Macaca mulatta: one gene and its partner. The protein of the gene in region 1 interacts with the protein of each later gene in a pairwise test. Links are inferred from orthologs where the notes say so. Each region holds a gene or a part of one and is shown in the gene's direction. Other genes may lie near its edges.

What was found.
Region 2: the proteins of TPR (region 1) and NUP153 interact in a two-hybrid assay, tested with the Homo sapiens proteins (3 studies listed by BioGRID, with this or other methods). The link is inferred for Macaca mulatta from reciprocal best matches to the Homo sapiens genes TPR and NUP153.

What each region holds. Positions count from the first base shown.
Region 1 is NC_133406.1:43,765,057-43,768,889, reverse strand, and holds part of TPR (nucleoprotein TPR), read left to right. Parts: intron 1-772; coding exon 773-983; intron 984-1,860; coding exon 1,861-2,004; intron 2,005-2,316; coding exon 2,317-2,515; intron 2,516-3,479; coding exon 3,480-3,685; intron 3,686-3,833.
Region 2 is NC_133409.1:165,447,489-165,450,472, forward strand, and holds the end of NUP153 (nuclear pore complex protein Nup153), read left to right. Parts: intron 1-772; coding exon 773-941; intron 942-1,277; coding exon 1,278-1,359; 3' UTR 1,360-2,415; downstream 2,416-2,984. UniProt on the Homo sapiens protein: Component of the nuclear pore complex (NPC), a complex required for the trafficking across the nuclear envelope. Functions as a scaffolding element in the nuclear phase of the NPC essential for normal nucleocytoplasmic transport of proteins and mRNAs.

The sequences.
Region 1 (3,833 bases):
GACCCCATTTATATATTGCTTTACAACTTACAAATTTGTGTGTTTTTTATACATACATGTGTATATATATTCTCTTTGTAGCAATAGTCTAGCATGTTAAGTAGAAGAGTTATATTTTAATCTTAAAAATGAAGAACCTAAGATTCAAAAAGATTGACTACCTAATTCAGGCCATCTGATTTCAAGTTCAGTTCAAAATTAACCCGTACTCTTAATTCAGGCCATCTGATTTCAAGTTCAGTCCAGGATATAGTACAGGCATTGGCAAACTATAGCCCACAGACCTAATGTGACCCATGATTTGGTTTTGTACAGCCTATAAGCCAAGACTGATTTTTATATTTTTAAAGCATTGTTGAAGAAAAATGCAGCAAAGACTTTGTGGCTTGCAAAGTATAGCATATTCTAATATCCAGCCCTTTACAGAAGAAATTTGACAATACTCAATGCAGTAGAAAGAGGGTGGGTTTTACTCTCAAGCAAGTCTGAATTAAAATCTGAGTACCATCACTTGATTTTAGTTTGTGAAATTGCGCATGTTACTTGACCACTGGTAACTCTGTTTTTCTCATCTCTAAAATGCACATGTAAACCTATGTAATAAGATCTTGCCTAAGGGCTGTAAATTTGTAAGTTCTTACCTTTGAAGTATGTGGGTATTTTTTAGGATTTTCAAAAAAAAAAAAATTTTATTAAAGCAGTATAACGTAAAGTTACGTTGAACTTCAAAATTTGAAAGAAAAATCTTTATTTTTTCCTCCATTTTTTAAAGATCAAATGCATCTTTGACTAACAACCAGAACTTAATTCAGAGTCTGAAGGAAGATCTAAATAAAGTAAGAACTGAAAAGGAAACCATCCAGAAGGACTTAGATGCCAAAATAATTGATATCCAAGAAAAAGTCAAAACTATTACTCAAGTAAAGAAAATTGGACGTAGGTACAAGACTCAATATGAAGAACTTAAAGCACAACAGGATAAGGTATTTTGAAGAAGCTTTTCTTACAAAAAAGAATTAGGGTGAATGTTATGAAATCTTATTTCTTTGTAATTTTGAATATTACTAGCTTTCAGATACTAAACTCGTGTAACCATATATGATATCTTTATTTAAGAATAGTTCTTTAATATGCTGAAAATGCATTATAAACTCACAAATTTTGGTAAATACTAGATATATTTTGGTTCAGTTTTCACCTTTCAAGTACTCTCCATTTTCAAAGCTATGTTCTTATAACTCATTGGTAATTACAATTGGATATTAAAAAATGATGACTAATCAGGTTTTGTATAGTTTTAAATAAATTATTTATGTTAACCACCTATCAAAAAAATTCAGAAATCTTTATTATGTTTATATTTTGAATCTAAATGTTGTTTTTAATTCCTGAAGGTAAGGAATTTGTATATTGAGAATTACGTATTTATTACATGTTGGATTAGAAAATAAAGAAAAAATTCGCAATTACTACCCCTTTGTTTTAGCCACTATTAGTACATTAGTATCCCTTTTCATACATATAAGCGATGTGTTTTTTCAAAGAAATAATATTATATGCTTATATTATTTTGTAGTCTGCTTTTTTCACTTGATTCATTATTATGAAAATGCAGTTCAGTGTTGAAAATTCAACTATAATGCATCATTTTGATTAGCTGTTTAGTATTCAGTTATGTGGAAAACCACAACTAGTTCCCCGTTTTTGGAGATTACAGTTGTTTCATAGAAAATTCTGTTTCGAATACCTTCAAGGATAAAGTTTCTTTGCAAAGCTGTGATTATTTTCTTAGACAAACTTGCAGAAATTGAATTACTGAACGTAAATATTTAAGTGTATTATTACTGTTTGTTGTCTTAGGTTATGGAGACATCGGCTCAGTCCTCTGGAGACCATCAGGAACAGCATGTTTTAGTCCAGGAAATGCAGGAACTCAAAGAAACGCTCAACCAAGCAGAAACAAAATCAAAATCACTCGAGAGTCAAGTAGAGAATCTGCAGAAGGTATGAGTGTGAGAACAGTCTGTTCCTAATTCTTTCCTGTTATACACCTGAAGAAATATGTACTAACTACTGACAGTTTCTCTTACCATGTGGGAATGGATACATTTTATTCGTTTTACTTGGAATGGCTCCTGTAAGTAAGTAGTACCCAGTCATCTTCAGGTGTGCATTTAGTTGGTCTGACCACCATTTTTATGCTTCTATTTAATCTTTTAAAGAGCAAATTAATAAGTTATACTTTAAGTTGCTACCACATACAGTTTATATTGAAATGATTGAATTCCATGGTGAATACTTTGTTTTCCTTTAAAGACATTATCTGAAAAAGAGACAGAAGCAAGAAATCTCCAGGAACAGACTGTGCAACTTCAGTCTGAACTTTCACGACTTCGTCAGGATCTTCAAGATAGAACCACACAGGAGGAACAGCTCCGACAACAGATAACTGAAAAGGAAGAAAAAACCAGAAAAGCTATTGTAGCAGCAAAATCAAAAATTGCACACTTAGCTGGTAAATACCTGTTTAAAGTTTGAACTTGGTAATGAAAGTTGGTTGTGTGTTGCAGGCTTAAAATTAAATGGAATAGAAATAAAAGGTATCTACTATGAAGGGTGTGTTTGTGTCTGTGTGTGTGTGTGTGCGCGCTTTAAATATTAGGAATAATTAGTTGGACACAAAGAGCAATCCTAATTTTCAAGTGATGAGGACGTCCTTGATATGATGAAATTTTTCTCAATTGTTGGCTGGCAATAGATAATGGAGTACTGCTATCCTTCTGCTTTCATGAATAACAATTTTATCTTGTGACAGAGATCCTTTGAGCCCAGACCATGCTGCCTACACACCTTATGTAGACTGCATAAAGATCTTTACCAGTCCAGGGATTTTTTTGTGCCTCATATGGTAGTGGGCCCCTCTAGCTCTTTGGGGAGAGTATCATGTCAAATTTATGAAGAACCTAGTTCTTCAAGGATCAGGGGTTTATTCAGCCTTGCCTGTCAGTCTGCTGAGTAGTTAAATAAAATGTCAAATCAGTTGGGTTTTGTTACAGGCATTTTTTTTTAAATGATCTTTAAGACAATGTCCTAACAACTTACTTGATTTTAAAAGTTCTTGAATTATTTTTAAACAGTGCTGTAGATTATATGAAATAAAAATTTTGCAATTCATAATAATGAATTGAATGATACATTGAAATATAAAAGGGCTTCTGCTAACTCAGATCTTTAGTTTGTTGAGATTTTAGTTAGGAAAAACTAAATTTTTATGTTGGAGTAAGTATATTTTATATTCTAGTAATAAGTGAAAACATGAATGTACTTAGAACTTTGCTCATTGAGATGTATAGTATATCATAACTAATGTAGATGTTATAGTAGTAGAATCTGATGTGACCACGTGTCAATTAAGTGCATAAATGTTGTTTTAAATGTTTGATTGTAATATTAATATAATCACCTGGTTACTTCTTTAGGTGTAAAAGATCAGCTAACTAAAGAAAATGAGGAGCTTAAACAAAGGAATGGAGCCTTAGATCAGCAGAAAGATGAATTGGATGTTCGTATTACTGCTCTAAAGTCCCAATATGAAGGTCGAATTAGTCGCTTGGAAAGAGAACTCAGGGAGCATCAAGAGAGACACCTTGAGCAGAGAGATGAGCCTCAAGAACCTTCTAATAAGGTGATTAGCTAATTCTGCTTAAGTAACAAATTGTTTTTCTTTGTACATTTTACTTGAAAGTGCCTGGTGACATAGGAGCCTTTGTCAGAGTGAATTTTGGCTAAAATTCAATGTATGCAGAGAGAATTAACAATAGTGAAATATTTTT
Region 2 (2,984 bases), on another chromosome or scaffold:
TTTTTTTTTTTTTTAATTCCCACGACATCCTCTCTTCCATAGGTATCTGGAACCTAAACATTTTGGTTACGTTTGGTATAAATGCAATTGCTTCTGTTCTTTCCCTGCTGCTAGTTCAGTATCACTTCTGGTCAGCCTTCCAGCTTCTAAACCTTTGTTGCTGTTGTCACCTCTCTATCTTTGTAAAAATCCCTTGTTTTAATGCACTTTTCAAAGAAGATAGAGCTAAATGTATTTGTTGATTTCACAATCTTTAACCAGAAGTCCAGACTGCCCTTTTCCCCTTGGTCATAGGTAAGTTGTGTGATTTGTTGGAGGTGTCAAGTGAGTACTATGTGTCAGTGGAGAAAATAGTTTTATTTAGATTAAAAGACCAAAATATTTTAACTCTTTGCATGTTTTTATATGTAGAGGTCAGAGTCATTAATTTAAAAACCTGTCATTTTGCGGCCGGGCACGGTGGCTCACGCCTGTAATCCCAGCACTTTGGGAGGCTGAGGTGGGCAGATCACCAGGTCAGGAGATTGAGACTATGGTGAAACCCCATCTCTACTAAAATACAAAAAATAAGCCAGGCATGGTGGCATTCACCTGTAGTCCCAGCTACTGGGGAGGCTGAGGCAGGGGAATTGCTTGAACCCGGGAGGCGAAGGTTGCAGTGAGCCAAGATTGTGCCTCTGCAGTCCAGCCTGGGCAACAGAGCGAGACTCCATCCCCCCAAAAAACCCTATCATTTTGCCCTAATGAAGTATTTCTGCTTTAACTATTGTAGGTTCGGTTTTCCAGTTTGGCAGCAGCACTACAAATTTCAACTTCACAAACAACAATCCATCAGGAGTGTTCACATTTGGTGCAAATTCTAGCACACCTGCAGCCTCAGCCCAGCCTTCAGGCTCCGGGGGCTTTCCATTTAACCAGTCGCCAGCAGCATTTACAGTGGGGTAAGAGAATTTTTTATTGAAATGGAGAATTCACATTGGTAAGGGTATGTGCATGTATATGTTTTGTTTTTAAAAGTCATCAAGATTCAGTATGGTTTGGGTAAAATTAAATATGTTCTCCAACATAAATTTACCGTACTACAATTCTGGAGAGTTGTATTACAGTTTGAGAAAAAAATAACAGTAGCGTGTGTGTTAGGTATAGCAGAAAATGTACATAACAATGTGAGTCTGCTCCCCCGCCACCCTACCCTTCTGCTGCTCATGGTAAATGTTAGCATTTGGAAATTTTGCTCAGAGCATCATGTCACATTATGAAGTTTTTATTTTTCACAGGTCAAATGGGAAAAATGTGTTCTCTTCTGGAACTTCAGTCTCTGGTCGGAAGATAAAGACTGCTGTTAGACGCAGGAAATAAAGGTCACATTGGTGTTATACGCAATTTTAACAACAGCTGGTGCCCTGCTTTCAGATACTGGATTGTACTTTGTGCTGGGGTTATCTGAAGTCAGATCTGCCTAAGGACTTCTTTAATTTTGGAATTTTCCTCCTTTTTCGTTACAGAAGCCCCAACCCGCCTCACCCACCCTTTTTAAAAAATATAATAGCTAGACTGGTGACTGATTCTTCAGCAAAAATATTTTATGATCCAGCAGATTATTCACTGATTTGACATAGTCTGGCTGTACCCAGGAATGGAGCCTGCACGGCGAATGGCTTTGTATAGAACCTCTTTTGTCTACACCATTATGTGCGCTGATAAGCGTTTACGGAACGCATTGAAATTGTAATTATATCTGAGGAATTCTGTATAGATTAGAATTCTGTATAGATTAGAGAATGTTGAAACGGATGATTTCTATGCTGAGTTTGTGCTGGTGTATGTGTGAAGTGAGTGAGTTGGGTGTATTGTGCACTAAACTTTTCTGATAGAGGAAGCCTGATTAAAGAATGGTCCGTGCTGAGGACTTGTTAGATCTAGTTCATCCTCCATTTAATAATTATATGCTATTTCTATATTTTCATTCTTCTATCACCTGTCTTGCCTTTTTCATTATTTTATTATGAAACTTGTGTAAATACAATTTTGTTTCTGTACTTTTTTGGCATAACATAAATCTGTGAACTTGAAATTTGAATTTTGTGTTAGAGATTTTTTTGTTGTTTGTTTAGTCTTGTCTCAGATTTTATTATGTAAATCCCATTATTCAAAGTTGCCTAAATCCATTTGGAAATCTTTAAAAAAAAATTGGGGATTCTTAAAGTTGAATTTATTGGCTTTTCTGATCCAGTTTTGTTTGGACCAAAAACCAGTATTGTACAAAGTATTAAGCATATATTTTTATATTTACTAAAATGGACTGTGGTGACTTTGGATAATAAGGAAAAGTTTAATATTAAAGCCATGTTTATTACAGTATAATTAACATGTTAAACCATGGGATAAATGCCATCAATAAAAAATTATGACATACTTTTTGTTCTAGTTTTACCTCATAATGAAGACACATAGTATTATTGGGAGGGGACTTTTTAAAATAAAGGTTAACTGTCTCATTAGAAGAATACATTGACGTGATTTAGACAACTCCTAAGAGAAAGGGAAAGTATCTGAAAGTATCTAAATGCACAACATATAGAAGGTACCCTAGTTCTTGCCTGGTGCTATGAATCATGCCTAATTTGCACATCGACTTACATACCTTTTTTAAAAGTTGAAAATAAACATGCACATTCATTTCTCTTTGTGCTTCTATCTTCCTTGGTAAGTTACTGGATAGTGTTTATTAAAATTCTTGGAGATACATACACAAAAACTAGTTGTTTCTTGGTGTGTGCAGAAGAAATTGTTCCCAGAACCACACTCCTCCAAATCCCCCGCCCCCATACCAAAATCCACAAATTCACGCATACTCAAGTCCAGCAGTGGCCCCTGTAGAACCTGAGCCAAGCCTCTGAATGTGCAGGTTTTATATCCCATGAATACTGTGCTTTTGATCTGTGCTCGGTTGGGTTAAAAAAAAAAAAAGAAAAGAAAAGCCC